Linked DNA regions of Caenorhabditis elegans. The protein of the gene in region 1 interacts with the protein of each later gene in a biochemical or structural test. Each region holds a gene or a part of one and is shown on either strand. Other genes may lie near its edges.

Region 1 (16,554 bases):
TGAGCGCAGATGGAATATTGCCAACCAAAAAGCACGGCTTCTCATCGAGCTTCCTGAACAATTAGGGAGTGATTCTTCATTTTCGCAATTTACACTTACCGATTCCCAATATCAAACATGTATTGAACAGTGCCTGCTCGTTTGACAGCTTCAGAAATAGCATCATGTTCCTTTGTAGTTTTGTCACACTTCTCGAGTCTCTCAGTCATTTCGGATAATCCTGTCCGAAGTTTGTTGACATTCTCCCAGTTCTCGGTAGAAAACGATTGTTTTAGCTGTTCGGTGGCTTTATTGACTGAAAAAACAACGGTTTGCAAAATAGTATTCCTCCACAGGCCTAAAATGTTTTGTTGAAAAACTTTGTGCCTGTGGAGCAAGTGTGAAAAGGATTTTTAGGATGATTTTTCTGCTGAAAATTATAAGGCGACTTTCTGAAACTCACTATTTTTGGCAGCGTCCATTTTCGAGCGAAACAGAAGACAGAATGATAGAAAACTATGAAAAATTGGCGAAAAGTGGGTGAGAAAGTTTTCGTGGCGAGACCCACGCGCCCAGGAGCTGGCGCATTTTGTGTCTGCGTCTCTCATTTCTAACCGAAATTCTTTAGAAACTGATTTTAATGTTAATTTTTGAGGAAAAAGCTATAATTTAGCTTACATTTGGAAAGAAAAATACAAATCAAAATTAAATAACGCGAAATGGACTTCGGAAAACTCGAAATCTTCATTTTGAGCTGTAAAAAGCTCATTTTCTTGCATCCATATGCCTCAAATATTAAATTTAATTTTTAAAGGCAAATTTCTGCATAAAATTATTGATTTTGTACTAGAATGTGACCAGAATATCAGCAAATTAATAAGTGTAATTTGCGTGACGCGTGAATCCGAGATGAAATAAACGGGAGACGTGAAAATGTAAAAATACGGAAACTCCAAGCTTCACATTTCCCTTTTTTCATCTCGATTTCACGCAGCACGCAAATTAAACCTATAAATTTTTGCGCACGCTTCAGAGATTAAATTTCAAGATGTTGCTATTTTTATTCAATGATACGGTAGAAGTCGCTAGGAGATATTTCGTGACACTCGTGAATAGACCAAAAAAGTGTCTATTTGTAAAACCGAATATCTTGATAAAATAATTTTAAAAAATTTTCTAGACTTTATATGATTTTTTGAAAATTGGAAAAATCACTGTTTTCACCTAATTATTTTTGAATTTCCGCCAATTGGATTTGCTCGGTGGAGCGTACTTGCATTATTTTTTATTTATTAACATTATTTCATTTATTTTCTTAATTTTTTGTGTTTTTTCCCCCGGAAAATGGAAGAAATAAACAAGAAAAATGCAACATTTTTGTTAAAAAGTAATGAAAATGAGTAAAATTGTGATATTTTGAGTTCCGACGGCAACAAGCCTGAAATTAGTATATAGAAATTAGTATATATGACGTCAACAAAGACGTTTTTGTGAGAAAACTCTCTCTCTCTCTCTCTCGAAAAAAAAAATCAATTTTTGTGGTTTTCTGTAAAAGATAATCTCATGCTGGAAAATTCTAACCAAGTTTTTTGAAACAATGTGAAATTTGTTTAGTAAATGACAAAATTTATTTTTTTTTTTGGATTGTTAGTGAAAATTTCGGTACTTGTGTATTATACCCCCCGCCATTTTAGAAATTAATAGTTTAACTTAAATTATAAAAACTTCGATAAGGAAAATTTATTCGGAACAATAACCACAGTTTCCACGTCATAAATTCAAAATTTATCTTCTTCCCCATCCTCCACCTCCTGGTCCCATTCCTCCTCCAAATCCACCTCCAGCGTTATTCTGAAATCCTCCCGAGCTTTGACTCTGTTGGAACGATGATGATTGCGATCCCCATTGACCACCACTGCCACCTCCACCGAAATCACCTAGAAAGTACACATGACTTACAAAAACTGATACTGTCCTATGACTTACCACCTCCACCGCCGTAACCTCCGCCATACGATGGCCTACCGTACCCCGGATGCGGTTTAGCAGCAACGAAAGCGACAAGGACTACCAGGAGAATGTAGAATTTCATTTTCAGAATAGAAATGTCTGGTAATTCAGCCGATACTTCCAATTTTATTTATACTAGTACCAAAAACTGGAACTTTTTCTCCTCCCCCACAATTCCACAACTTATCACTTCTTATCATCCGGTCATCTTTCGCCAAATCACATTACAAAAACAACCTGGTCAGAAAATTGAAAAACATGAAAATATGATAAAGTAAAATAAATTTTATTTAGTCGGAATATGATCCCTATATAACACTGTGTGGTTACATATAAAAATAGGACGATAGTCAAAATTAGTTGAAAATAAATCTAGTCTTCTTACAGTCTATGTTCTTCAGGATCTGAGCACTGGATACAGAGAGGGGGGAAAGTACGTCAACATCTAGAAACTTATAGATACATATATGTGTGATCTAGCCCATCCATCCTAAACCCAGGGGACATTGAGGGGAAGTCACACGGGACAAAGTGGCAGAGAAACCGAAGGAACCCATAATTCAAGAAATACAATTTTTGGTGTGGCAAAGATTGATAAAGAGAGACATAGAAAATATTCGGAAACAGAAAAGAGAGAGAGAGCGCGAAAGAAAGATTTGGCGGGTGATGAGAGAGAAACTTGCCAACTTATAAAAGTTTGAAAGTTCGGAAATATGGCAAATACAGACCGTCCTATTGTTAAGTTGACCAGTTACATTGTCTAGCACAGAGCACGTTCAAATAGAAAAATGTCGATTCGATAATTGAATCTAAGAACCGCTCAACATAACTATGGAACACTCTGTTGGAGAAATCAAGGAGGAATAATTTTATGAAAAACGAGGACATGTCAAGGGATGTTTGTGGGGAGAGGGCGTTTCTCGTGAACAAGTCAGAGGAAATTGTGCAAAGTTCGTTGGAGAGTGTGAAGGATCACTGAACAAGTTACGCCTCGAAGCGATCCGCGGAACGGCAGGCGTCCGGCTTTTCTGGCAATCATCGTTGGTATCAATGTTCTCTGTCGACGTGGACGGTGCCGAGGTGAACGAAGCAGATGAGGCGACGAAGTTGAACGCGGAACCCGTCGGCAAGGACTTGAAGGAGCGGCTCATGCTCACAGTCCGCAGTACCGATTGACCCTTGTTGTGGAAGTTGTACTTCTTGAGCTCCATCGTGTGCTCCTTGTCGTGCATTTCACAGTATGCGTGGGGTTGGCAGAGATTCTGGAAATAGGCTTGTAAAATACAGCTTTAATTCAGGTTTTTTTGCATTTTATTTCAGAAAGCATCTGTGTCGATTATTTTAGTTTTAAAGTTTAAAAAGATTTTTTATTGCAAAATGATCAATTTTCCAGCTGATTTTCAAGCGAATTTTTAGGCGAATTTTTAAGCTAAGACTAAGCCTAAGCTTGAGCCTAAGCTTAGGCCTAAGTCTTAATGTCTAAAACCTAATAAAGAAAAAATTAGCAAAATTCTAAACTGAAAAATTATGTTTTTTTTTTCAAAACTTTTTTATTTTCCAAACAAAAATAGGTTTGAAAATTGCCGAAATTGCAGAAATTATTTGTTCGTTTGCCGTATACTCACCGTGATATTGGCTTCGTTCGCAGCGAAGAAAAAATTTCGATATCCAAGATCGAGCACATACATCTCTTCATAATCACATTTTGGGTAGTGGTTCACATTAAGCTCTCGATCTACTTGCCGAAGAGCATACGCCATTTTTGGACCACGAGCCTGTGAGAATTCGCAATAGAAGATCGGAATCTTGTTGCACCGCTTTCGGCCATTCTCATCATAGAAGATCTTGCTCACTGTGACCCGATCGAAGTGGTTGATGGCGTTCTGAAAATTTACAGTTTGAATTAAAATTTAAATATAAATGTATTGCTCAATTACCTTGATGTGACCACGATTATATTCATATGGGTAGCGGCAATCAATGAGAATATACTTGTCATCAAATTCTTTTTCAGAGAGTCGGAAAAAGATGTCTCTCAATGTTTCGGCGGTGATTCTTCTGAAGCCTTTCGAGGATTCCTTTGCAACAGTTTTGAGGTGGTATTTCACGTTCAGATGATGTTGCTCTTCGTGCTCTTCCTCCTCAAATGTCTCTAGTGACGGGAAGGCGGTTGCTGAACGGGTGAGACGTCCCTTCTTATGGTTCGGCGCTCGAAAGCCTGGCTCCCACTTGGTGGTGTTCTGGTCCATCATCACGATTTCGTCGTCGTCCATCGCCTCGACGCTCATCGGCTCTAAATGGAAATGATCTGACGATTGTTCGCTCTTCTCGAACTTCCGTTTCCGCTGCTGTAGGAGTTGTTGGTTTTCGGATCGAACCGACAGCGGGGCTTGCGGGCGCATGAACATCTTGTGCGAGGTGGGCGACTCGTCGAACAGACGCACCTGGCAGGAGCTCTTCTCTCGTCTGAAAATTTGGTGGTTTTTTGACGGAGCGAAATGGGGGAAAAAATGGGAAAATGGACAAAAAGAATGAAGAGAGAGTGGGCCAACACACCGCAAGTATTCAAAAATGAGTGTAGTCTGCCCGCGGTGAAATGCAATGTTCACTTTTGAGCGGCAGAGAGGGTAGATCAAAACTTTTGTTTGAAGGGTGAGACACTTTTTTCTCTTCTTTTCTTCTTTCCTCTTCCCATAAATGGAATATCGATCGAAATATTGATCGTGCACTCTTCTCACCTGAACGTGACTTTTTTCTGGCGGCGAGACACAGGTCCTGGCTGTAAATTTTCATCCTCATCGATTTCCATGCACTCTTCGACTTGGACGGTCTGGAAATTAGAAGTTATTGATGAAATTTGCATTGAAATTTATTTTTTTAATAAATAAAGAGAGTGTTAAAATCATACTAGTAAACTTACCGTCGACTCTGTAGACATTGAGGAGAAGCAAACCGGCGTGTTCTCGTCCATCAACTCGCAGATCCCCGAGTCGCGTGACATGGAATCTTCGTCGGAGGACATCATCGCGGTTTCTGCAAATGTTGGAATGCACAAGGAGTACGAATGGCAACGACGGATGGCCTGGTGGTCTGAGAATAGGCGGTTCAGGTCCCACCCAATACATCCCAAAAGAAACTTTTCACCTGGGGAGAGAGGGTCAAAATTTAGAAATAGACACGTCTATCTTGGTGAGATTTGGGTCTACTCAGGTCGTTTTTTGTCTCGAAACACGGGAAATGGCAGAAAATGTCAGAAATCAGAAATTTCGGTGATTTGATAGCAGAATGACTGATATTAGAAAGATAAATACACCTTCTAGGAAAAATTTTTGGTGAAAACAGTTCGTTAAACTTGGTTTTAAAATTTATAGCTGTTGAAAAAATTGATTTTGAGAAGGGATTAAGACCTTTCAATTTACCATATTTACGATCAATTTTCCCAGGTCCAAATTCTTGTCAAATCAATTTCTCCTCGGGGATAATGCCGGAAAAGCTAGCTATTTGCTCTACTTTTACAGTTTTTTTTTCGATTTTTTTTTTGAAAAACATTGTATAGAAAATAATTTTTTACCAGTTTTCCATTTTTTTAAGAAAGCAAAATACAAAAAATGTATGAACTGTTACAGTAGTAAATTCAACACAAAATACAAACAGTTATTAAATTGCAAATAATAATTCTACAACTTTCGATTCACACACTTCTTATGTCTCTTGCAAAATCCTATAACATATTCCTAATAGCTACAATTACAGTTTCATCCAAAAAGAGCAGTAATTGTGTGCAATTTTATGGCTCTTCTCTCATGAACTCAAACGTGCTCCTTGGGAAAAGAGATTAAGATTTTTATGATGAGCGCCGCACGAAAATCCAAGTGTGCTACGTCAGGTTCTGGCAAAGGATTACTAGATTTCAATCTTTCAAAAATGAAGGAATTCCCGGAAAGTATGTTCAAAAAGGCGTTCCCAGAAGTATGTTGGAAGTGATAGAACATACGCACAAAATTCTACGTTAATTAAATAAAACCAAATCGAAAAAAGCAAAGAAACCAAGAAATGAGCGGTGTCTAGACTTTCAAATATGTTTTGAATGATTAAATTTTGAAAAAAAATCCCAAAATATTTTCTTGCTCTTTCTAATGGCTTTATGATGTTTTATTTAAAATTTCTAGTGCATTTTTAGAAATTATATGAGAACATTTTCCTAACTCAGATTTGTGTGAGCCCGTGTTTCCCAGTGTCAAAAACCATTGTTTGTCACCGAATCTAACACAGCTGGAAAAAGCAAATATTGCCCAAAAACCGCAATGAGAGTATCAAAAAATCTGTGTACTGGACAATCTCACAGAAACATTGGAAAAGATAACTAGAGATATGTAGATTGGCATAAAGAAAACTTTTTTGTAACCCTCCTCGGTCAGTGTTGCGTAACTCGTCCGGTCGTAACCCACCCCGCGGATGCTTTTTGTGTAAAACTAGAGGAAAAAGCCATATTCCCATATGATTTTCAAATTTTTAATGTGATAGCGATAAGTTACTGTAGGGCAATGTGGGAAATTGAGTTTCGACCTTGGGGTTTTTGGGGGGAATTGAAATTATTGTATAATAACTTTTGAAATAACCGAATTTTTTTTATTAAGTGGCAGTATTTATGAGTTGCTGTTCATGATCTTGGAAGTCGATTTTTAAAAATTTTTAAAATGTTTCAATTTTTGAAATATTTATATCAATTGATTTTATAAGTTCAAACTGCTGAAATTAAAAAAAAAACTATCATAACCATATGCTTCTAAAAATCAAAAACTTAAAAATGTTCAGTTTTTGCTGATTTATAAAAAACTCATAAGCGTTTTTATAAAATTGTTTCTCAAAAAAAATCAAAAAAAATCTGGATTAAATTATAAAATCTGCCTTGCTAAATTTTAGAAAAAAACATTTCATTTTTAAAATTTTATTTTTTTTTTCGTTCCAAAAATAAATAAAAACAATTTTGGTATTTTTCAAATCTAATCAATGAAGCCTCTATATATGGTACCTAATGCGCGTGTTCCCATTCAAACGTAACCCGACATAACGAGAGCCGGCTGTCGTGTTCACTATGAAAAGAGTGCGCCAGGTGGCAGGCTCGCTAGGAAATTCGGACCATCAATACCTATACATTAGTGTGTGTTTCCTCCCTCTCGACGGGTCTAACGGAATTTGAATCTTGTATTCATAAGGGGGTGAAGCGAGAAAAAAACGGCCGAGAGAAGGACACCTGGCCACGGGTGGAGGCCATTTTTTCTAGAGGTCTTTTTTGTGTTTTTGTTGTAAATTGAAATTGAAATAAAAAAAAATCTCGAGAGGAGAGGACAGGTGTGACTCTACAGATTCTACAGTAGCTAATGTCAAAAAGTAACGAAGAAAGTTGACCCGAGGAAATCGGACCCCGTCTAGCGTAATATAAGATTTTCTCTTCCTCCATGATCAGTCATCACTTTAACCTACATTCAAAAATGTTTATATTAAAAGTACGATTGGTGGTGTCAGACATCGAACAGATATGTTTATATTATGCAGAAGCCGCTATCTTTGAGAATCAAGGGCAACAAAGTTAGGTGGGGGACAAAATAAACAAAACATAAATTTGAAATTTGAAGGCACTAAAATTCGTAAAAAAGGGAACACCGAAAAGGGAGATCCTATCGAAAACCTTGGTACCAGGTTGCTCGACATGCCAATTTGTCAACTTAGGCCTAACGATACTTATCTGCTTGCCCCCCCCCCGTCTATTACCATTTTCTCACCTTACTTGAACAAACTTTGGGCCTCCCTTTTCAAAAAGAGGTCAGATTGGAAATTTTGATTAGTGCCGGAGGAGAGGTGTGGTACTAGTTTCAAATGTTTTGTGTGGTGTGGTGTGAATAAAAATCGTAAACTGTAAAATTGCGAAGAGGCGAGCAATAAAGTCGTAAGTTTCTCATAAGAATTTGGAAAATCATTAAAAAAAGAGTTCAGGGAATTTATTGCTGGCTGGGTTGGAGTACTTGAAATTCGATATATTTAGAAATTTTCGTGTAATGTTTCAGTAGACTCAAATCCAAATTTCTCTTTTTTGCGACTTTTTTTTAGATAATCCAACTTTTTTTATTGAAAATTGATATAGAAATGTAGAAGAAGGATTGTTCCGTTTAAAAATAATTTTTTTTCTGTTGAAAAGCTTCAAAAAGGCCTCAAATAGTGCCTAAAAGTTGCGGTTTGCCAAAAAATTCCGTTTAAAGTTTTAGGAACTTTTAGGCACTATTTGAAGATTTTTAAGGTTTTTCAACAGACATAAGGAATATTTTCAGATAGATCAATTTTTTTTCTACATTTCTATATCAAGTTTGGATGAAAAAAGTTGAACTATAATGTTGAAATAAGCAGTTCTGTGCGTTTGCCGCTGTTTTGTGGGCGCGCTTTTCCATAAATAACAACTATTTTTGTATTGTTCAAAATAGTTCAAATTTAATTTTTTTTTTCTCAAATTCAGCTATTTTTATTAACTCTAAAAAATTCATTGCACATTTATCTGTTTCAAACGTTTTCAATAAAACTCTCCTCTCATGAGATCTCATCAAATTCGAACGTTTTCAAATATAATTAAGAGACCCTGACCCCGCTCAATTTATTTTATAGTGGTCAAAACCTTCTTTCGGTGGGTTTAGTTTTACAGCCTCCTTTATACTGCTACCTGATGGATGATACCAGCAAAGGGGAGTGAGCGACTTCCGCTTATCTGACACCCGCATCCAAGGCCGTGAACTACTACTAGTAAAATTTGCCGAGTCTTGCAGCTAGCCGCTGCTGCTGCTGCTAGGCTATCGTTTGAATTGAAAGGAAATTTGTCAATTTTTCCGTATGTATAGTAGTAAACCCCTTATGGCACCAAATGTTCAGTAGTGCCCAAGCATAAGGAGGGCAAACGAGAGTACTCTCTCGAGATAGCGAAATACAATAGGACCCCCTCACAGGCACTACGCAATGATATGTTGCGTGAAATATGCGCAATCAGCCTCCATAGGAGAACCGAGGCTAATAATGATTTGAATTCCTAGAGAGGACATACACATGGTCTAGGGTTATTAGATATTGTTTGAGTACAATAATTTGTTCCAAAAGTTTTCGTGTCAGATAGTAAGTACAGAAATAAAAACTGTAATTGCGTTGAATTTAAATATGAATTAGTTTTTTGGCAATAAAAATTTAGAGAGAAAAGAACCCGAAATAACATTTTTTGCTATGTTTTTTTCCAATTTGCACCCACATGATTTTTATTTCAAAGGTTCGATTTTTCAAAAAAAAAAAAATAAATAAAGAACAGTTCAACTGCAACTACAACTATGCTAATCAACTTTTTTTTTCTAGATGAAAGGTGGAGTAGCGCCTGTGAGAATTTTGTCTAAATACACTTATAATGATCCAAAACAACCAAATATCATAATTAAACACTCTAAAAATTTTTAGATTTTTCGAAATTTACGATCAAAGTTTTGGCAAAATGCCAAAAAAATTGAAAAATATGAGTCCCTACAATGTTTTAATACAATTAATTAAAACAAAATTACAGTATAAAAATGTAGGAAAAAATTTTTTTTGGACGATTTCCATTATTATTCATAAGTGGAAAAACCTGGGTAATTGTCATTTTTGACAATAAATAAAAAATTTCAAAAAGTTTTTTGAAAAGTTTTATTCTGATATTCGGTCATTTTGACACCATAGTAGTAGTTTTTAGCACTTTCCCCACTGGCCATACTCCATCTATAACATTTTGGCAATAATAATATAGGTCCCTAAACGACTTTGTTTCTATGTTCACCCTCTTCACTGGATCTATTTTTGAAAAAAAAGTCAATAGATGTTCAACTACAACTATATATACTAGTTGGTATTTGTTCTAGATAAAATTGAAAACAAAATCAAGATGTAGTCTGTCAATTTTACGATTCTAAAATGAATACACCTTATTGAAAATAAAAATTCAACTCACCATGCTGATTAGAAAGCGGTTGTGCTACATCTTGTGATATTTGTGAAGGCCTATTCATAATAAATACTCTAGATTAAATGACTGTGCCCACGTGTTTGGAGTTTTCTGAAAATATTAAATTTTTAAAAAATTTTTAAAATCAAAATATCTATAAATTTCAAAGAATATTTGAAAACACAGAAAAAGGTTTCAAAAAAAAACAGGGAAAAAGGTGGTTGTGCCGCCCCGAGTATGAGGTAATAATGCTTGAGGGAGTCGGGTGGTGGGAGGCGGGAGGTCGGATGGAGGTGGTCCGACCCGGTTGCACCATCATGACCCCTTATAGAACGGGGGAAAAAGAGCATGAAGATTGAAGAGAGAAGAGAGCGGATTTGAGAGGGACCTGAGTGCAAGATAGAGAGGGGGTTTTCAAATAAAGAACGAGAAATGGAAGGGTGGAGGAGAGAACTCGGACCAGTTTTGTCAAGGATCACTAAGTTTTGGAGATGGAATTGTATGATGAGTGATTTACAATCGGTACGGGTTGACAAAAAGCGGCGGACAAGCGAAAAGCTTTTTTTTCATTTCATTTTCTCTTTCATTTCATTTCAAAAGTAACTTCATCAAAAATAATTAAAATGCATTAATCTGCAATTTTTAAACCACTCCAAAATTCAATTTTTAATTTCAAATTTTTAATTGCAATCAAATTTTTATCATTCACTTGACACCAATTTTCACAGTTTCAAATTCTAACTTGTTCAAAATCGCCTAGGTGCCAGAAATAATTATGTACAATACTCAATTTTTTAATTAGATGCTTCCTCTTCCACGTAACATCTAAGACCCCCTCATGAAATATGGAATACAAAAGCAGCTGTTTTCCTTTATGATGCAAAAGCTCGGCTGGATTCCTCACGAGGATTATGTTGCGTATCTGCACATTCAGCCCAGCGCAACTCGGGTTTCTCGACGAGCTTCATATTCAAAAGACCGCCTGTTTGGAGGGCGATGGCGCAATTTTATAACGACGCAACTTTTGCGCAACAATTTTTGACCTCACTCTATGCGAATGGTTCGAGTTTTATATAATATAATCAAACCTCTGGACCACTTGTCTGGATCAGGACCTTTCTAGTCACTTTGAAAAGTTAGATTGAAAATTAAAATAAAGTTTGTGATATAACTGGAGTGAGACAGTTTTTATCTAAAAAGCTTGTACAAACATTGGGCAATCAGAAAAAAAACTTGCATACCTATAGTCAAACAAATATTGCGCGGACCCCTAAGAGAAATGTTCGGCAAACTTGACCCTTGTCTTGTCAAACGGATTTAGGTGCCTAGCCCCCAAGTTCCGAATAGAATAAAATCATAAAATGGTAGGTAAAAGGCATGGCTAACTAGAAGACGAATCGGCCACCGATTCTTCCCTCGCTGGCAATTTTTCAATGCCACTAGGTCAAAGCTGTGGGCGCCCCTCCCCGAGTGTGTGTGCCTATCTAATTCTCCAAATCTCTCGCCGAAATTTCTCATTTCTGACGGGGTGCTTGGCGGTGCCCAAGACAGCTTCGGTTCCGTTCAAAACCAGCAGATGGTTCTGGTTTTGAAAAGAACCGTGCTGTATGGGAATTTATTATGGGAAGCTGAATTTTGAATCAATAAGCTTTCCTTTTTTGCGGGTCTCTACGGGTTCATCAGTAACTAGAATGAAGTGTCAGCTCATAAATCAGACATATTAGCTGAAGATCACAACCCTCCTTATGTTCAGTTCTGCATGTTCCGTTCGTCTGTGCATGTTCAAATTAGAGCCAGCCTCCTCGAAAAGAATACAAAATGCCTCATTTCCTGTCTCCTTACCGCCATCGTTCTTAGTTATGCAATATATCATAAGAAGCTCAAAATAGCGTGAGGATCAGCGAGACGCAGACATCAGATGACAGCTGACAGCCAGTCTGCGCGCAGTGAGGAGCACAGTAAAGGAGCTCCATTGGGACTAGGGAGGGGGAGGATATTTGAATATTCCGTGTGGAAGCAGAGAGAGAGACGGACCACAAGCATTACAAAACATGTGCGCGATGATGGGTGCTCCGGAATTTGGGCCAACGGGTGGCAGGTGCTTATGAGTTATGGGTGGGATGTAGAGGAAGCTGTTAGGCTGGATTTTCATTTTGAATCCTGGAATGAAATACGGCTTTGTAGTAGAACACATTGTTCTTGAAATACAAAATACAAAATACAAAATTCAAAAACTCCAACTTACTTCCACAGTTAATTATTTAATTTTTTAGTCCAAAAACAAAATAGGCATGTGTAGGCAGGCTCGAAGGCACCCTTTACTATTGCACCTAGCTTCCACCCGTGTGCATCTTCCACCTCTCCCGTTCAAATATCTCCTATTGTTTCTCCCGTCAAAAAGGTTATTGCCACCCTCTCGTCTTCTTACGGAATTCAAATATAATACGCGCATATAATTAGAGCCACCCCCTTTTCTATACACCTTATTCATACCGTGAAAAAGGCATTCAAATACCGTTCCTGCTGCCCTACTGTTCCACAGGCCTTTTCGGGTATGTGCTGCAGGATATCTAATACCTAATTGGATGGTCTTTTTCGACGTACCTGTGTACATAAAAAGGAGCTACCGGCAAGTATTACAAGACGAGAAAAGTCAAGGGCTTTGGCAAATAAACATTTTTTGTCTTTGGAAAATATGAAAAGTTACAAATATTGAAACCTATTCAAAAGCTATGGAGTGAGAATAGGTGATAAATAGGAGTCGTCGACTTGTGAATGAAGAGCCAGTTGTAAACGTTATTACACTAGCAGAAAAGGGACCAAATGACACCTACCAGATGTTTTAATGTTAGTGGCTTTGCAAATTCAAAATTTCCTCAACTCTCGTTACCAACCAAATAAATTACTATCTACTCAGCGGATCATCAGTCTTGACCGCGCTGGCAAACGATCATAAACCTCTTAGCAAGTGAGTTTGTGTCTGATGCAACTGACTTGCGTAACTGGAAAAGCATATCGAGTGACCTATGATGTCTTCATCCATGAGTATGAGTTCTAATCCCTACTTGTCAGTAATGTATCTGAACACATGTTTGGTTAATAAACATTATACTGTAAATCTGCCATGTTCTAGAATCCCATAGGATTACATAAATTACACTTAATGACTATAATAACAACCGTTACTGAGCATTGTGAACGTGGGCTGGAAGATATTCACAATTATGCATTGTAACTTTATTAAGAAGTATTGCAAGTTAATTTTATTGTGTTAAACGGAACAACAACTGAGTCATAAGCCGTCTAATTTAAAAAAAAAACTGACAGGTAGGAAAGTTACGGATTAAAATGATATGGTACAGTGAAGATGTAAGAGAAACGTCTAATTTTTGAAAAAAAAGTTAAATAAAAATTAAATAAGAATTTGAGCAGAATAGGTTTAAATTGGGACATAATAATTTTTCCTCCTTACTATTAGATCTACCGAAAACTTAATTCGAAATTTAATTTTATTATTTTAATGTTTTCAATGCATTTATTTATGGAAATGACTAAAAATCGAAAATGTTTTAAATACATCAGCTCTTTCAGAAATGCGGGAAAGATATGTAGACTGATGTTTAGACAGGCAGGTATTAACTTATCACATCACATCAAAACTGAAGTTAATAAGAAAAATTCAGATTCAAAATATTATCACTACAAAACATAATTAAAACAAGGGTCTAGTAAAACTATTTTTAGGCAGCTCAAATTGAAATTAATTATTGTTTCTACCTTATTTATATAAAAGTAACTTTTTTTTTTAAATTGGCTTGAGGATGATCCACAAGTGAATTTATTGTTTAATCAAAGTTAATCAAAACAATGAAAAAAAGTCGGGACCCTCACGAGTCCGACAAAGAGAGGAAAAAAATAGACCGGCATTGAGAGAAGAAAGGGAAAAAAAGACTTTTTGGGAAATTAGACTTAAAGTATCAAAATGCATTTATGTTCTTTAAATAAAATATTCATGGTTAACTCATATTCTCAAAAAAAGTCACACCTACCATAAAACAAGAAATCGATATGTCGAGCGACCTTACGCAACCTTGGGGACCCAAGCATACTGGTCCATGTGCTAGAATGTTCCCCAGGGACATCCGTCCAGGTGTGCTCCGCCCTCCATCACCGCCTTATTCCAGATGAGATCTCTCACCACCTCCCGTCGTGTAGTTGACTGTAATCTCGACGACAGTCGTAAATGCGCGATGAAGGAGATGGTCAGAGCTCTTTGCGTATGAGCCGACAGGCGCCCCCACAGGAGGTCCATGGGCATCCGCGACAGGTGTTGCGCAATTGACAAAAGATTCGCGCATGTGTGGTAGAATGGTCCGAAGAAGAGGTGGGCATGAAACTATGGTGTTTTGGTTCCAGAACTCTTCATTTTTTGTTGGTAAAAGATCAAAAGAAGCTTTTTTTGCAAACAAAATGCCGAACTACGCACTTGAATCTTAAATTTGCAGACGCCTAGACTATCAGACTTTTTTAAGCCAATTCTAGCACATGGTGTCAGAGTGTCCCATTTCGGTTTGATCTACTAGAATTGTGGTAATTTAGACGCTTCTAGACGCAGATTTTTCAACTGATTTTAAATGGTTAAGAGTGCGCTGCCTTCACACTTTTCCGGGTAAAATATGCCCGCATTTTTTGTAGATCACATTTAGATGGAGCAGCCTGACGCCACGTGTTCAAGCTCAATTTCGAATTATGTGTAAGTGAATAGGAATGTTTCTGCTTCCATCGAAACAAAAAATATCATCTAAAAATATTAAGCACCCCAAATTTAAAACAAACTTCCCTCATACTGATCCCCTGGTTTATCCCATCCATCTGTCTTTGCTTACCCACATCCAACCCCAGGAAGCCAAAAAACACCTATTTTCGCGCGCAATAGCCATTCATCCCACATACAGCTGTTGCTTTCCAATGCCGGAGAGACTGTTGATCTTTGAGAGAGCGCTAGACACAGATCAAACAGAATGTCTGAAGGCATGTGCACTCATATGGGTTGAACAGATGTGTCTGGGTGTCTGACAAGTCTAGCGATCTCTAATTATGCGGTGAATAAGATTGTATAATGAGTAAATGATAATTTGGGTCTGGCTGGAGCAGAGGTATGAGCGATGAGGATGCTGTGAGACTTGCTGCATGTTGAGGTGAAAATTGATGAGGATGGAAAAAGAGCAGATGTACAAAATTTTTCTAGAAAATTTTAAACGTTAGAAGAAGCTTGTAAACTTGAAAAAACTAAATACCAATTATATCTATGCAGTAAAAAAATGCATTAAAAATTTAGACTGATTTTATAAAATACTATGCAAAACTACAGTACCCCTACAGTTTCCTAACATAAACCCAGAAGTGCTCGAATGTAAGGTCCCGGTGAAGTAGGCAAAGTTTGCTGGAAAACACACAGGTTAGGTTCGTTTTGACTGTATATATATAACTTCAACAGTGCTTTAATTTTTTCAGACATGTTCAAAATTAAACAATTCTAGATAAATACAAATTATCAACTTTTAAATTCATATGGCGTTGTGAAAAACTAAAAGTGAAAATTCTGGACATAAATTTTAAGTATTGTTCAAACTTTTAATATAGTTTAGGCCCATGTTGAAGCTCATAAATGAAGAAATCCTAACAAAAATAAGATTAATTTAATCCCTAGGTTCCGCTAGTTAACAACCAAACTGAAACAATTTGAACACCTTTCCTCAAAAAAATACCAGTTTCCGGTGAAAGGTCTGGGGGTGTCTAATGAAATGCAAATGTAAGTCAAAGCGAAAGGTGTCGTTCAAGTCGTCAACTATGGCGGGTGTCCTTCACAAAAACAGAAATGAGTGAAAATAGGTAGGGGCGGCGAATCGAAAGCGAACACCTCAATTGTTTCATTTTTTTTTTCGCTCGTGTCTAGGGCACAGTGTGGCGCGAAATTGGGGTCAAATCGAGTAGCGGTTCATTACTTTTTGATTAGTTCACTTCCCCTCTCTGGGTGGTCTTTGTGGATATAGTGGTGGTGACAGGTTCCCAGGATTTGAAAGTTTTCGGATTGAGATGCAGATTAGAGCAAGTTTACAGCACAGTGTTGTAAATCTGTAATTGTAATTGACTGGGAAACCGTAAACATTAGTAGGACATCATGATTACAACTTATTTGGACAGATTGATATCTTGAAGTATTTAGGGGATCCCACGAGCAAGAATCTAGTGGAGTTCAATATTAATCCATCAATTACAAGATACATACCTTTTCAGGGAGTCTGTGCAAATGGGGTGAGAATAACTCAAGTTCTACAGTAGCCTAATGTTTTATAGGTACTGTAGATTTTTTGTATTGTTCATAAAGCCTAAGAGCATTTCACACGTGGTGTCAGGTTGTCCGATTACGGTTTGATCTACACAAAATGCGGGAATTTTCTACACAACAAATGTGACGTTAGCACGTTCTTAACCATGCAAAATCAGTTGAGAAGTCTGCGTCAAAATTCCCGCCATTCTCGTAGATCTACGTAGATCAAACC
Region 2 (17,345 bases), on another chromosome or scaffold:
AAATTCAGTTCGTTTTTTGATTTCTCTCTTTTAATTCGTTCTATTCCTGATTGTTTAATGAATATTTAATTTTTATATACTTGCTTTTGAAAATATCGTTAAATTTAACTCAAGTTAAAATAATTTTGATTATTTAACTTTTAATTCCACACTTGTTTCTTTAAAAAATATTCTGGCTGTGCAGTTTGTTTGATCTCCCACTGAGCACAGCGCGAAACGAATATTACAAAAAACTTAATCTTTAAAAATATTTAACAAGAAATATTTTCAGAAAACAGTCGTCTCGGTTTCCGTTCTTACTGATCGCTATGCAGTTTATATTTTTTGGAACCCTATTTTCTGGACTTTTATTGGTATGTGCAGTTACTAACGATATTGAAGACGCTAGTGGAGAGACACCTGGAATTGTTTCTCAAATTACTGAAGAGCAGCCCCATCAGCGACGTGAGTTTATTTGTAAATCATGAATTTAAAATTGATCTTCAACAGTTTAAAGATTAAATGAATTTCCAGAAAAACTCTACAATTGGGACTACAAGGACCTCGGAACAATTGCATTCGAAGACATTCCATTCCCAACTCTTCAGCCGTCACAAACTATTGACCAATCGGAAAATTGCCCGGAAGGTTGGATCCGATATTCCGATTCATGCTACTGGGTGGAAACGGAGCTTCTTGGATTCGCCAAAGCCGAAAGAAAGTGTTCTGAAAAGCAATCGACACTGTTTGTGGCCAATTCTATCGATGAGTGGGAGGCAATTCGTGGTCATTCAAAAGACTCGTTTTCTTCGTGGATCGGTCTTGTTAGATTTTCCCACTACGAGAGATCCGAGCAATTGCCACGTTGGCAGACCGAAGGAGCTGTCAATCCGTCTAAGATGTGTGTTTACTTTGCAAGTGTTCTTTTTCAAAGAAAAAAATTCAGAAACTGGTTGATCAAGCCGTATAGTCCACTCGTCAATGGATGGTCACAACTTGCCAACTGTGCTGCCAGTTATAAGTCCCCAGCCTCTTTGGAAACTGCTTCATACACTTATTTCTACCCATGTACATATTTATTCTATTCGATCTGTGAACGGAACTCGACCATTGCTAATTCATTGCATTAAAAATGTAAATAATCTTACATTACAATTACCATCTTGTCATCAAATCCATCAAAATCTCCTCTTCTCCCATTACCTGTCATCGACTGTACTTATGAATTATGTAATTCTCACTACTCCCTAAAGATTCTCATTTTGTACTTGTCTTAAACCATAAAAACTGAGAATTCCGAAGTAACTTGCAATATTTATTTTTGCTCGCATACCATGTACGAACACCTAAAAGGCGGGCTTCACTTTGGACGAACGAAGTACTTATGATCATTCTGTCTTGGGAACATTGGAGCAATATTTCTAGAGAAGTTACAATTCAAAGTTAAAATCATCAAATCATTTTGTCTCATCTGACGACACTTCAATAATCCTCTTTCTTATTGTCATCTTATAACACTTATCAATTTCCTAGTTTGCTTTCCATTCATTTCAGAAATGAAACTACTTTCTATACTTTTTATTTTTGTATCCTCATATTCCTTCTGTCTAGCTGCTCCAGCTACGGATAAAGTCAATGATTTACCAGGATTGACTTTCACACCAGATTTCTTTCATTATTCTGGATATTTGCGAGCTTGGACAGACAAATATTTGCATTATTGGTTAACCGAATCATCTAGAGCTCCAACTCAGGATCCCCTAGTTCTATGGCTCAATGGAGGACCGGGATGTTCTAGTTTAGATGGGTTAATTGAAGAATTGGGACCATTTCATGTAAAGGATTTTGGAAACTCTATATACTACAACGAGTACGCCTGGAACAAAGTAGAATTCCACTTTTAATATTGTATGAGAAAGTAACAATTTCAGTTTGCAAATGTCTTATTCCTGGAATCTCCAGCAGGCGTTGGATATTCTTATTCAACAAATTTCAATTTGACAGTTTCTGATGATGAAGTATCTCTACATAATTACATGGCTCTTCTTGATTTTCTATCCAAATTCCCAGAATATAAGGGTCGTGATTTCTGGATCACAGGAGAATCGTATGCAGGAGTTTATATTCCAACTCTGGCCGTACGTATTTTGAATGACAAGAAAAACTTCCCAAATTTCAAAGGAGTGGCGATTGGTAATGGAGCCTTGAATTTTCCAAATAACTATAATACTATGGTTCCATTTTACTATTACCATGCTTTAGTTCGTGACGAGTAAGTTGGTTTATAATTAATCTAGATATTGTACGTTGGTTTGCAATAAGTTGAAGCATAGTCCTATAAAAATTGACTTCAACGTTTATTGAATAATCTTCAAAAATTGGCACCGCGAGTGATGAGATCGTGACAAGACCTAACGGAAATTGCCACATTTTGATAACTTTCCTTCTACCTGATTTTTCAAATGATACTTCTTCATAATTGTATATTTTTTCAGTTTATACAATGACATTGCAAGAAATTGTTGCAATAACAACATTGGAACATGTGACATCTACAGCAAATTCTTTGATCCAAATTGTAGAGACAAAGTTATCAATGTAAGTTGGAAACAGTTTCTCTCAAAAATGTTTTAAATTTCAGGCACTAGATGGTACTAATGAGCTTAATATGTACAACTTGTATGATGTTTGTTATTACAATCCAACCACAAATCTCAAAAAAGCTTTTATCGAAAGACAAATGAGAATAGCCGTCGGATTACCAGCAAGAAAACATAATGCAGCTACCGTAATACTAGATTTCAGAAACTACTATAATTTCAAAATACTTTCAGACAGTTCCGCTTTGTGCTCAAACCAATAATACACATGTTTATTTGAATAGAGCGGATGTTCGGAAAAGTTTGCACATTCCAAGTTCTCTTCCAGCATGGGAAGAGTGTAGGTTGGTTTTTGTGGGGTCTATGTCTTCTCGGTATTACCTGGAGGAAAGTTTGCTAGAATATTGCGTAGTGTCATCTTACAATTAATTAATCCTAATTGTTTTCTCTTACAGCGACCAAGTTGGAAAGAATTATGTAGTAACACATTTCAATGTGATTCCCGAATTTCAGACAATGATTGCTGCAGGAATTAAAGTTTGAATATTTCAAATTAATTTCAAGTATTTAGAATTGTTTAGATTCTTGTCTACAATGGAGATGTGGACACTGCTTGTAATTCAATCATGAATCAACAGTTTTTGACATCACTCAACCTGACAGTTCTTGTTAGTTTCTCTTGTCTTTATTTTATATTTAACTTTTATTTTTTAGGGAGAACAGGAGAAAGTGAACGAGGCTTGGCACTACTCCGGCCAGACTGGAACTGCAGTAGCTGGGTTTCAGACCAAGTTCGCCGGAAGTTTGTTGCCTTTAATATCATTTTAAACCTACATAACCATTTACAGATGTTGATTTTTTGACCGTTCGTGGAAGTGGCCACTTTGTGCCTGAAGACAAACCTAAGGAATCGCAGCAAATGATTTTTAATTTTATCAATAATAAGGACTATTCTACTCCTATTCAACTTTGATCATTGACTGTGATTTATTAATTTTTGGAGAAGTTTCTATTTAAGGCAATAAAAAGAAAATTGAGTTACTTAAAAGTAGCGAAAATCTGGGAAATATTTTTAAATGAATCCAAATTTGCCTCTGATTCCGAATATATATGTGAAAAAATTCAAAAAATCTTCATTGATTTCACTACTCCATCTTTAAACTACAAAACTTAATAAATTCTAATTTTTGGTAATTTGGCAGTTTACCAAAAAGTTTGGCTGAATTTTTTTTGAGTGTTTTGTTATGGTACAGAAATACGTTTCATGTTTTTTTTTCAAAATGATTTACAAAAAAACTTCAAATTTCTAATTGTTCCTTGCCAATTGTACTAATGTTGACCTTTAGTATGCACCAATGATAACTGGATATTCTGTTTTTGGCAGATAGATATATTTGAATTTCAGATGAGTCTAATGAATAATAAATACCACGAACCTAGCCATCATTCGTGTTTTTATTTAACCAATAGAAGCACCCATCGAAGAAATAAAGGGTATAATGATTTTTCAATGAACCTGTTCAACATCCTAATGTCTTTTGTCTTGCAACAGAAGTTGACAGAAATTATGTGGTATTACGTTTAAGTGTAATTCTCAAATTTCAATGTATGGTATCAGCTAATTTAAAAGTTTGGATATTTCAAATTTAGTACAAAACTTAGAAAGTTTCAGATTCTATACTAAAAACAATTTTTTCAGAATTGTGAATTCCTTGAAAGTGTAATATACATGTAATAGAATAAATTATGTTTATGGGATACGTTTTGCAAATTTTTATTATAAGTGGTTTCGAATTTATCCGATTTCTGAAGCACAATAGGTCTTGCCACGAACAAAAAACTTTGAAGCAGATGTTGCACAAAAAGGTGTGCGCCTTTAAAGTTTACAGTACTCTCACTGTCCTCTTTCTGATGTATTTACTTGCGTCTGAAATCCTGAAATAAAAACCGCTAGACCAACGAAAACAAGATTTTTCAAACGAACACAAAACAGACGGAAAAGAAGGTAGGTTGAAAAAGAACGAGAGATATGTCAATCTAAATGTGTAATAATATCTCGAATTTCGGGTCTGAAAATCAAAAGTCGAGCTGAAAATGTGATCAGCAGACAGAGGGAGGTAGTATTAGAGTGCACGGGGTGCAGAAAAAGTACGAGAAATACCCTTTCCCACACTGTTTTCTCTTGCTTTCTCCGCTTTTCGCTAGTTTTAAAGGTGAACAGAATCCAGTTGGATTGGGCTAGACATCACATAAAATGCGGAGATTTAGAGAAGGCAAGCGCGCCCTAAAGCAAAGAGGGCGTGCACGAGACGGCGGGTCGATTCAAGCTCTAACTGTCTGCGTCTCCACTATTGAAAGGTGCTTCACCGCTGTCTCTAATCCGATTTTCTTTCTCTTTTCTACCTTCTTTTCTGTCTTTTCTTTTTTGTTTCCTTCTCGTAACACTCAAATCTTCCTTTCGTATAGTCGTTCGTTTTCATCGTTTTCCGTTAGTTGTGTATTTTCAGGAAAACCTGAGATATTTTCAATTTCCGAACGTTTGTTCTCGTTTAATGCCCAACCGCATCATAAAAACGTTAAATATGTTTCTCCCAAATGGAGAAAAGAGCAAATTTATGATTGAAAAACTAAAAAAAAGTCATGACTAAATAGTTATTATGCTCATCGAAAAATTTGCCAGTTTAAATGCTATTTTATCGATTTTCTGAAATGCCCTGAAATCTTTGATTAAAATCACTATTTTGATTCTCTATCGAGACATATAAAAGATTCTTGATTTATTTTTTAAAATAAGTTGAAATTATAAACACAAATTTGACGATAAACACCAAAATGTGCGTTACCTTTTCATTTGCAATACATATTATTTAATAAGTTTTTTAAATGTCAATCTTCAAATATTGTGTTGTTAAATTCAAACTCCCAGATGTTTTATTTGCTATTTTCAGCTGAAATTCAGATATTCCTATAACAATTTATTTTTCTATTTGGATTAACCAGTTCACTGATTCTGTAAAAGATTACGAAATCAAGAGAATTCTCGAAACAAAAAATTCATTGCAACGTTGATACAATTTCATCTTCGGAACATTTTCCCTTTAATTTCCTTTAAATTTCGATGATACTGATTAACTCACCTGATTATATGAGATCTTTCCGACTTTAAATTGATTTTTACACAAAAACATTGTTCTCTAAATATCGACATATTTTTATCTTCTAATCAATCAACACTCAATAATATCCATTTAATTCAGGACATTAAATGTCTTCACCGCACCGAGCTTCAACAACTCAGCAGCTGGCGGACTTATCGTTGACGGAAGGTGAACACGATGAGGGCAAACCGCTTTCTATTGACTACCTTCAAGGGCACGAAGGCCTGATCGAGGTAAGGAAAACGAGATTTCCCGTCATTCTAGCGCCATCATAATGTCGTTTTGATTTTTTTTTTTTTTTTTTTTTTGATTTTTCCCAAATCTTTCTTCAACTATCATCACCTTTTTCAGGAAGTATTAAAATGGAGTGAACACGAACAGCTCGATTTTATGGACAAAATTGTTCATCGATTATCACATTATCAGTTGGGAAAAGTCGACAACTTTATCAGGCCCATGCTCCAGAGAGATTTCATTAGTAATTTACCAGGTAAAATTTTTGTCTGTTCAGTATTAAACTAATCTAATTCTATTTTATTTCAGCACATCTTGTCGAATTAATTCTGTTTAATGTAAACTCGGATTCATTAAAATCTTGCGAAGAAGTGAGCACAAGCTGGCGATGTGCACTCGCCCGTGGTCAACATTGGAAGAAATTGATTGAAAAGAATGTTCGAAGTGATTCCCTGTGGTGGGGACTTTCTGAAAAAAGACAATGGTTAGTTGATGATTTAGTTTATCAGAAAATAGGAATAAAATACTTGATTTCAGGGACAAATTCCTGAATATCAGTCGAGACATGTCAGTGCGACGAATCTGTGAAAAATTCAACTACGATGTGAATATTAAACGGGATAAGCTTGATCAGCTCATTTTAATGCATGTCTTCTACAGTAAATTATATCCAAAAATCATTCGAGATATTCATAACATTGACAACAACTGGAAACGTGGAAACTACAAAATGACTCGAATAAATTGTCAATCAGAAAATAGCAAAGGAGTATATTGCCTTCAATATGACGATGACAAAATTGTATCTGGTTTGAGGGACAACACTATTAAAGTCAGAATGATATTATTTTGATTTCAAAATAACTCTGATATTTTTAGATTTGGGATAGAAAAGACTACAGCTGCAGTCGAATTCTTTCTGGACATACTGGTTCCGTTTTATGCCTTCAATATGACAATCGTGTAATAATTTCTGGATCTTCTGATGCCACAGTACGTGTCTGGGATGTCGAAACTGGAGAGTGCATTAAAACGTTAATTCATCATTGTGAAGCTGTTCTTCATCTTCGATTTGCTAATGGAATAATGGTAACATGCTCAAAAGATAGATCGATTGCTGTCTGGGATATGGTTTCGCCACGCGATATCACAATTCGAAGAGTTCTTGTTGGTCATAGAGCAGCTGTAAATGTCGTTGATTTTGATGATAGATATATAGTCAGTGCAAGTGGAGACCGAACTATTAAGGTGAGAATTTGAAATTAAAAAACTGCTTTTCCAGTTATTAAGAAGCTTTTTTTTTAATTTAAAGGTGTACTTATCGTTTGAGTCTCGTTTACTATTCTTGCGGTTCTGAAAATATTAATTTTTTTCAATATTCAGGTCTGGTCAATGGATACACTCGAGTTTGTTCGAACATTGGCTGGCCATCGACGAGGAATTGCATGTCTTCAATATCGTGGACGGCTCGTTGTTTCTGGATCCAGTGATAACACGATTCGACTATGGGATATTCATTCTGGTGTATGCCTACGTGTTCTTGAAGGCCATGAAGAGCTCGTGCGATGCATTCGATTTGACGAAAAACGAATTGTCTCCGGAGCATACGACGGAAAGATTAAAGTATGGGATCTTCAAGCTGCTCTAGATCCTCGTGCATTATCTTCGGAAATATGCCTCTGCTCATTAGTTCAACATACTGGCAGAGTGTTCCGCCTGCAGTTTGATGATTTCCAAATTGTTTCCTCTTCACATGATGACACTATTCTCATTTGGGACTTTTTGGACGCTCCACCCAGTGGGCTTCCGTCTTCAACAAACAGAGTAAGTACAACATCTGGATCAAATCTGTTAATTGAGAAATGGCAGTACATTTGATAGTCTTCAAAATTCGCAAATACACTTTGAAGAAAAAAAAGTGCTTGCAAATTTGTAGTCAGTTTCTTTTCCGTGATTCATATTTATTTTTCTAGGCCACCCTCCCAGAACTTCCAAACCAAGCTGCTGTCGCTCGAGCTCAAATGCTTTTTGAAATGGCTGCTCGACGAGAAATTGAGCGACGAGATAGAGAAGTTGTGGAAGAACCTGCACTGAGGCCACGTGCCAATGCTGCTCGTCGACACAATGCCGATATTGCAGCAGCTGCAGCAGCGGCGGAAGCTGCTAGAGGTGCCGGGGACAATGATGAATCGTCATCAGAGGAAGATCTGGACAGAGTTGATCAGGTTAATAATCCGAACGTGGCTGGACCAGCGCCACCGCAACCACACAATCAGAATCATAGAAGGAGGCAACCAAGACCAGAATTGCCTGTCAGACTTATGGTAAAATTGAAAATTGAATGATGAGACTAAAGATTGACAAGTTTCAGCAAGAAATGGCTGCTTTTGACAATATGCGCCGACAACAAAATAATATGGATCACCTGGGCGGAGGCGACGTAGACGAAGAGATGCCAGATGGTGGCCCATAAAATCTACACTCCTTCCCATTTTTTTTTGAATTTTTACTGATCTTCAACCGGTGCAGAAATCAACCAAACCCTCTGTAATCTTCCTTGTCATTTTCCAAAAAAGAAAGTTGAAATTCCTTTGTACAGTATCCTTTTGCATCCCCTTCCCAACTTTTCCTCTCACTATTAACTGATCTGATTTCATGTGATAATAGTGTGTGTGTGTGTCTCTGCATTCTATTCATCTTTTCTCAATCGACATATTGGAATATCGCACGCACAACCCCTTTCTTTCTTGTTTTTGTAACCGCATTCGAGTCCTGGTTTTTCTGAAACTATTTTTTTAATACTTCAATTTTCAAAGTCGCATGCTTTGCGGGTGCCCATTCATCCACTCTCACCATTTTATTTTGTTTTTCATCCCTCTTCCCATTTCTCAACGGTTTTTCTTCTACGGCGACGATTCTAAATGCTTCTATCCCCCGCTTTCCTCACCCGCACATTTTCAATCGCTTCACACAAATCTGTTTCAAATAATCGTTTTCGTTCCTAATTTTTCTCCCCTTCCATTGCCTCCAATTCCAAATTTCTTTTATTCGCTCGGAAAATTGTGTTCTGTATAGTTCGAAATGATATAAACAAATTTGGGTTTTGCTACTCCACAATCTGCCATTCCATCTTTTTTTCTAAATTAGAGTTTCTCATTATCATTCTTCTGTCACTTCCTGTCTTTCCTACGTCATTGTCACTGACAACTTTGCAGAACCGATTTGAGCATTTCTGCAACTTTCTTCTATTACATCTCTACGTCCCCATTCTTATCACACTATTTATTTAGTCATGTGACAAGAGTGATAATGAGAAAATAATTAACCTTCCACTGAATCCCAGTTTTGTAGTAGAAAAAAGTCAAAAGTTATAATCGATAAGCATGCAAAATCAAGTCATGCGACAGTTAAATGACAACATATCGATTAGATATTTCACAAGAAAGTTTACGGAATTTTCCATATTTCAATTGCAATTCGATCAAAAATGTGACAGCTCAAGTGTTTGGCAGATCAAGTGTTTGGCAGATGGGTGGTGTCACATTTTAATGCCAAAACTAATATTTCTCCTCTGCAAAAGCAAAAAAGCGGTAAGTTTGAACCCGAAGTGTGGCAAAAAAAGTTCAATTTGGCACACACCTTTGAGTTCTTATCAATTTCCGGAGAGGTTAGAATGGGATTATTGTAAAGTTCACGAATTGTCGGAGATTGGAATGTTTCACAACTATTTTCATAGTGGACACACTATGTAGGATGACTATAGATTTTTGATTTAATACGAATTCGCGAAGCAATCAAAAAACGAGTACAACACATTGAAACCTAGACGATGACAAGTTACAGTACCCTTTTCAATTGGTTTAGGAAGCGATTCAGCAGTAAATGTGATTTTTTTCTGTTTCAAATGAATACCTGGTTTTCGTGGATAGTATAAATATTTGTATTGTTATTCGAGACAGTTTATATAGTTGTTCACCCAATCATCGTTTGCATTAAGTTGTCAATACTCTAGAATTAACTATGATGAGCCAAATAACGATGCTCACTATTTTTTGCCTTCTGAATAAAAATAAATCATGTTGAGTGTAATTGAAAGTTCGAAACGTTCTACTACTGTAATTCAATTGAAATGTAAAATTAAAGATGACCTGATTTCATTTTGAATACCACACAAAACTCTACTTTTTAAGCGCAAATAAAAGTTTTTATACACATTTTTGAAGGATATAAAATTTTTTTTTTCGGTAAATATCAATTTTATTTCATAGTGTATTTCATTCTAAAACTAAAACAATGTAATTTTGTACTTTTTCGTGTAGACAGGAACTTTCTTGTGATTGTAGCTATGATCGTAGTTTTGTGTCAGAAACCACAAACCCCCCAGAATGTAGGCTATTTTATTAGGTGCAACTTTTTGAAGTAATCAAACATCTAATAAACATCAAATCCACCCTCACTCAAATGCCAGTTTCTTTCTGATCTCTAGAATTTTCAGTTGAATTTTGAATTAGTTTCAATGAGTTATTTAATGTTTTTTTTTTGGAAAACAACCAGTCAAGTTCCTTTTCGACAATATTTGGATGCAGAATTTCTGATGAGGAATCGAGTCTGATGAATTTTAAATTGAAGTTGATAAGCTGAAAGTTAATAATCAATGAACTGAAATAGGTTACCGAAATAGAAATATTCGAAATCTTATTTACTTGGAAGACATGAAAATTTCAACTCACGAATCATTTTCGAACTGAATATTTAAATATGTGAATCTCAATTCAAAATGACTTGTTTTCAAAAACATTAAGCTTATTTTCAGAGATTTCTCGATGGCTTCATTAAGCATTGTCTGATTATTCATGTCCTTTTAACGCGTTATTTGTTGAATAAACAGCTGACTATTTTTTTCATACAACAATGTTTCCTGTTAACTGCAAATGATGAATGAGAGGACGTCACAACAAGAAGCATGAAAGTGATAATCGGAAAAAGCAATGATTAATGCGCCAGGTGGCAGAAAGGGTAAAGATTGGAAATGAGAACGAGAGTTGGAAAATCAAAAGATAAATCAGGAACGACGATGATTTTAAAACGTGTTGCAATTTCCTTTACCTGTAATCAAAATATGGGAGGTCAAATAGAAATGATTGATCTTTTTATGATATGAGAAGATAAAATATTGCAAGACGACTTGGCAAGATTGAGATGTTCTGCCTTGAACTTGTGTTCTGTTATATTGCAAAGGTTATACGTGAAACGACCTAGTCGTAGGAAACATTTCAGGTAGCACTCTCAGAAATATTCCAGTTAAAAATTTTTTGGCAACAGTGATCTAAATCATTATCCTAATTGCCGAGATCTAATCATTATCCTAATTGCCAATACTTATGTTAAGTTGAATTTAATCCAGCTGGAAATCAGTTGAAGCTAGACTTAATCAGAATATGGTATAGTTGCAGGTTCATAACTGGTTGTAGGCTTATCCAGCTTACCTCTTAAAATTAAGTTCCAGTAAAGAAAACGTGAAGAAAACACATTTTAGGGCAGGGACTACAGTAGTTAATCTACGAATCTAGGTTATAACTATAGTACGACTTCTGCCCATTGTTACAATTTTATATGAAAATTGTGGATCAATTGAACTTTTTGAAAATTCATTTCTTCTTTGTTAAAAATATTCGATTAGAGGCCAAAACTTCGAGTTTTCATAATTTCCCATCAACTCGTACTTTTTAAACAACTTAAAAAATTCCAAAATGCGATTCATGCTTGTGACAATGTTTGGATAAGACGAATTTTCAGTGCAGATAATATGTGACTAAATACAAGTCTGCAGGTACTTGACTCTTCAAAAATATTAGTGCTGTATTGTACTTCATATATTAACACTTCACTTACAAACACATTTCCAGCACATTGCAATGAAACTGAAAATTTCGTAAGAAATTGATTTTCCATATCTTATGACATTTTTTCCCGCAGTGCTCATGACATTTGTTTACCGAAACAACAACTTCCTTTTATTCTTTGTACCAGCCCTCCCAGTTTAGCGTATTAGTTTCTCTAATTATCATTTACTATTGTATTTTAATGCTCTTCTTTTTCTTTTTCTTTCCTCACACTCCCATCATCCAATCATCTGACTCTCGTCCTTCTCAGCTGCTTTTTTCTGCCAATAAGATAAGTAGAGAGAGGGAGACAACACAGTTCATAATTTCACAGAAGTTGAAGAAAATGAGATGGCAACGGTAAAAAGTTGTGTATTTGTTTCCGAATAAAATGCTGAAAAATAGATAAATGAATGTGATGAATGATGCAGACTCCGCATGAGGTTACTGATAACATAAAAATGAAAGTGAATGAAGGAGCTGTTAAAAATGAGAGTGATGATGGATGATCAGCGGGAAAACGAAACGAACGTAACTGGCACCTAGTGACACGAAACGTATTTTATCAAAAAAGGTTTCAATTGAACGAATGTTCAAATGAACTCTTGATTAGTTTATTTTTTCCGATGGTACAATGTGTTTAGTGATTAACAATCAAAAAGGCCGATGAGTTGGCAGTAAGCTACTAGAATGCGGAACGCCCTACTGACACTTAACAACCATAATATCTATACGCAAAAAGTACGGTAGCTCCGAACTCAAAATTTATTGAACCTTTTTTAAACTGAAAATTTTTGAGGGCATTAAATTCGATATTTCTGATCTTACAAAAAATTTTCCTATTTGCTATTTAGAATTGTATGAATGTTTTCGCAGTTTTTGGCATAATCCATTTTAAAATTTAATTGCAAAAAAATCTGTGTCTCGTAAGCACATTAAGACTTTAATTATTTCATTGCCACTTAAGCTTCCAATTTTCAAAATCATGTTCAATTTAAATTAATTTGAAATTAAATCAAATTAAGAAGCGTTACAAAATATATAGTTTCTCTAAAGGACTAAAACAATCAAATATCATAAAAAGACCTTTCAAAAAATTTAATGAAAATTTTTTATGGCAGTTTGAAATTTTTTAGAAAGAAGGGAAAAATTACGGAATAAAGTTTCCAGATACACCGTTACTATTGTTTTAATAAACATGCCAAGCTTTTTTGTTATTAACTTTTCCAAATCGCTATAGTGATTTATAAGTAAAATGTGATTTTTCTTGACATCTTGAAGATTCAGTTTTTAATTTAAAAAAATTCCCAGGAGTCTTCAAAATTTTAAATCTAACATTTAGAATTTGAAATGCGAAAAATGTCGTGAGAACTCCTGCAACCTGATTACAACGTTTTTTCGTGATATTTGGATACAGAGCACTTTAAAGGTCACCAACTTCATCGTTGCAAATCTAAAACATTCTCATGAATGATTCAGAAAAACGAATCTTTGACTGGAAGACCTCTGGTAGATTCCGACCTTTTGCTATAATCTTATGATCGAATTACATCGACCTTTCACTTGCAAATGTTTGAGCCAGAAGGGTGCACGTAGATGTGTCATAGAGTGAATATCCGGTTGTAATACAAGATTAATTCATTTCTGAATAATATCTAATTTGATACCACTCTAAAACTTTGACCAACAAATTAAGATAATTTTATAACAAGATATTTTATTCGAGTTTATTTCGATCACAGATTATCAATCCAAACGAAATGTCACGAAGTCACACCATTTTTCTTGAGGATTAAGCATCGAATGAGCGTGAGATCTGTAATGTTTATAACACAAAAATGAAATAGTGTAGCATTTCAAGAGAATCATGCCAGTTATCAATCAATGATAGTATGCACTTTTTCGCGACTGTCATGTGTGAGATTGAAGAGAATGTCAAAAAACGGAAACTCGACAATATCTTCATATATCTTGAAGTTCGTGAAATAAAACAGCGATTTTTGATTAGTTTCATCTTGCCCATATTAAATCATCATTTTTGGACAAAAAGAAGATATGATTGATAACAGGAAAAAAGAAAATAAAGAAAAAAATAGAAAAGGTAGATTTGGGTTGGTATGAGGATTGGACGGCATGAACTATTGTTTTTGGATTTGACAACGTGACCGATCAGAAGGAAGTTAAATAAATGGACTTTGATCTAGATCAGTCAGAAAATGGAACGCCTTATCTTTTAATTAACAGAAAAATCAAACACGTGGACCCTCTTCCAGTTACGGTTATTGTTGATACGGATGAGCGAATTCTGATTGAGGGATCTTCACTCTGATTATAAATATAACATCCACGAAAACTTCCTTCGTCAGCCTTGTTGCTGCCCCCGGAGCGCTGGAACTTTTTGCTTACATTTTCAAAATTACCATGCCCGTAAAAAAATCAGCAAGAAATATGATAGTTTGACATTCTGAAGATTATTCACTGTATAGTGACTGTCTGAGTAGGTAAACCTATCTTCGACACCTTTAAGCCTTTCTACCTACCTGACTACCTAGAACTCCGATGCTTGATGTTCGCACACTGGAAATAAATAAATAAAGATTGAAGTTTACTTTGACATCAGGTACGTGCTTTCTAATTTCATATTAAGATCATACAAAATGCAAGAAAGTTTTCAAAATCGAAGCAAAATCGTATCACAAGGGTTAAGCTGATTGTGAGTCGCTACTGTGAGTCGCTGTCGCTAATTACCACAACTGTCATAACGCTGTTAGATTTATGAATAAAATCAGCCTAAAAGGAAAATCAGTTTAGATTTTAAAGATAAATTTTCAAAAAAGTTTTGAAGAATTGTGGTGGGATACGGTGGCTGAGTAGCGACTCGACCTTTTCAGATCGGAATATTTCAGAAATTAGATTAGTTTTAACAAATTTGGATAAAGATGATTACCCAAATTAAATTCTGTAGACTGCAAAATTTTCAAAATCAAAATCATAGCAAAATTGGCAAAACTCCCTATCACTGTTTGAATTAAGAGAGTCGCTACTCAGCCAATTACCAAACCTGTCATAACATTGTTCAGAAAAGGGATAGAAAGTTGGCTCAAAAAGCAAATATGGTACGTTTTTGGAGAAAAATATTTTAAAAGAAGTTTCCAACAAATTTGGTGTGCCAAGAAAAGTTTTGGTCAAACTTAGGATAAATTGTCCAGCTCTTCCCAGCTAGCTTTTAAGTCAAGTTATTTTTTTCGGGTTGAACATAGCCAAGAACTTTTATGTTTAAAACTTAGTTTTCTACACAATGCTATTTTTGATAATTTCAGTATTGCAAGTCGTGGAACGATTTCGAGGTTGTTCTGGAGTTACAGTTCAGTTGGAAAATGTCGATTTTAGCTCATACCTTTCTACCTACCGTAACCTTGATTAACTTCACAATTATTTGTGTTGTTGTGTTGTCGTTTTTCATTTCTTGTTTTGTCCCTTGAAACCTGCATTCTTTTTTCTTACACATTCTTTCTCTCCATTTATTTATATTCTTTATCTGCCACAGTGTTTCTCTCTGATTCATAAATTCATTCATTTTCTTTCTGTGTGGTTTAAACTTCAGGTTTCTCGATTTCTCTATCATCTCAAAATTATGCATAAACCCATTTTTCCATTTTCTCTTCGTCTCCATTCCTTACCTCTTGCAAACTGATAGGGGCGTGACCTTGTTCCGAAAAGAGGCGGAGTGTCGGAACGAAAAGTCAACGACATGTCCTCTCCGGTCAGTCAGCCACCGACTTCTTGGTGCTCTTCTCTCTGAAATTTCATTCGTCTGAAAGTGACCTACTTTTTAAACTCAACAATGATTCATCATCCAGTATATTTTTATGGAGAAGCAACATCAATGGATCTTCATAAACATTCAACATTATTCTCTGTGCAAAGAATGCAAAGACTTCAACTCATCAAAATATCAACACCGGAACACAATCGGTATGGTCAATTCAAGAAAAGGATCACTAAATGATATCCACTTATCATTAGTCACGTGTCTACATGACTACATGGCTACAACATCATAAGATATATTTTCCTTGTACATTCTTAGGAAAGTGTAAATATAATATTTTGGAAATTTTCGAAAGGTATAGCTCCAATTCTAGAGTTCATTATTTATTTATTTGTTTTTTTATAAGCACGTTATATTTCCTTGTCCCTTACAAAAGGAATTGTATATATATATTTGTCTGTACATTTTTTGATATTTTTCTCATTCCGCTGGTTGGTCATCTATTTCAATTGTTTCGCGATGATTTGCAATATTTTAATGGGATCTCATTTATTTTGTTTCATGTTCAATTGTACATTTATTTTGATTTTTGTGATAATTTTGAATCTCGAGTGAATTTATTTTTAATATGTTTTAAGTTTGTATACAATATACAAGAATTGAGTTATTAAAATACAATAATTACAAAACTAACCATGATATGGCTAAAAGAAATCAGCTGGGACAAGCTTGATTCACAGAAATTTGTAGGCTTTTTACAGTTAGAAAACTCAAAACTTCCGGCAGATCCTGAAATAAAATACAACTCTTGAGTTTACTGAAAACGTAACATTTACAGTTACAGTACCACAGAAAGGCTGATAATTTTTCACCCTAATCAGCAATTTAGGTGAAATTTATTACAAGTGGAATGCTTACAATAGTATTGAGAAAATTTTTTACCTACCTAAAGGTTGCGTCTCTCTCTCCGAAACTTGTAGAAGAATGGCTGCTCACTCCAAACCGGAATTATCTGTTGTTTTGGATGCATAGTTTTTAAAAGGCAGGTCTTAAAAATCCAATCCCTAACTTCTCTGCATGCACAAACTTTAAAAGTAGCTACAGTAATATTTTCACATGATAACCTGCATTAGGAGTGTTAACCCTAACCACAAACTTTATCATTGACTATGTGTCTAGTTACAATGACCAAACAACTGTGTGTGTTTCTTTAATAGGATTCTAATAGAATGTTAAATATCTAATGGCGAATTCGTGATTTCAGGTGAATTTATTTAGTTCCGGACACAAGCCTAAACAGAAAGTTCACAAAAGTTAGTCATGATGATCTTTTATCTTCAGTTGCAAACTTTTTCTCCACGGTTTCATGATTTTGAAGCTTCTTTTTATTTTAGAGATATCAAAATGTTGTCGATCTACTTACTCACTGCACAAAAAGGTTATTATGTAGTTTAAAATAAATTTTCGTTGGGCAGAATGAGGGATGATATATTATTACTGTTTCCCGGTATCCACTTGATGAGCATGCGACCTCTCTGTCCAGAAGCCAAACTTTCAATAACATCTACAGTATGTACTGTATTTTGCAATCACTTATAAAAACTGAAAACTGAGAAGAACCATAAATCATACATTTCCCGCATGTTTCTACTCAATTGATAACCGGATTATCACATTTCTTTACTATTACTATGAAATGACACGCAGTTGCAACAAACTT

What was found.
Region 2: of the proteins of cdc-25.2 (region 1) and lin-23, one has a biochemical effect on the other in vitro, tested with the Caenorhabditis elegans proteins (one study listed by BioGRID).

What each region holds. Positions count from the first base shown.
Region 1 is NC_003283.11:1,571,239-1,587,792, reverse strand, and holds cdc-25.2 (M-phase inducer phosphatase cdc-25.2), read right to left. Parts: upstream 10,103-16,554; 5' UTR 10,056-10,102; coding exon 9,998-10,055; intron 5,023-9,997; coding exon 4,910-5,022; intron 4,820-4,909; coding exon 4,728-4,819; intron 4,456-4,727; coding exon 3,927-4,455; intron 3,873-3,926; coding exon 3,615-3,872; intron 3,252-3,614; coding exon 2,859-3,251; 3' UTR 2,261-2,858; downstream 1-2,260. Other genes in the region: F16B4.6 (MT domain-containing protein), read right to left, coding at 1-53, 100-295, 443-587; F16B4.7 (Glycine Rich Secreted Protein), read right to left, coding at 1,765-1,916, 1,966-2,071. UniProt on the Caenorhabditis elegans protein: Required for intestinal cell division following the 16E cell stage of embryogenesis. Regulates intestinal cell divisions and binucleations probably by modulating the activity of the cell cycle regulator wee-1.3 and by activating the cdk-1/cyb-1 complex.
Region 2 is NC_003280.10:6,365,469-6,382,813, forward strand, and holds lin-23 (F-box domain-containing protein), read left to right. Parts: upstream 1-5,834; 5' UTR 5,835-5,844; coding exon 5,845-5,970; intron 5,971-6,088; coding exon 6,089-6,227; intron 6,228-6,280; coding exon 6,281-6,455; intron 6,456-6,508; coding exon 6,509-6,803; intron 6,804-6,850; coding exon 6,851-7,219; intron 7,220-7,354; coding exon 7,355-7,795; intron 7,796-7,944; coding exon 7,945-8,295; intron 8,296-8,336; coding exon 8,337-8,444; 3' UTR 8,445-9,082; downstream 9,083-17,345. Other genes in the region: clec-88 (C-type lectin domain-containing protein), read left to right, coding at 309-444, 514-1,109; Serine carboxypeptidase ctsa-4.1, read left to right, coding at 1,536-1,865, 1,911-2,251, 2,475-2,577, 2,621-2,767, 2,814-2,923, 3,035-3,116, 3,161-3,247, 3,294-3,381 and 1 more. UniProt on the Caenorhabditis elegans protein: Functions cell autonomously to negatively regulate cell cycle progression. Required to restrain cell proliferation in response to developmental cues. Probably recognizes and binds to some proteins and promotes their ubiquitination and degradation.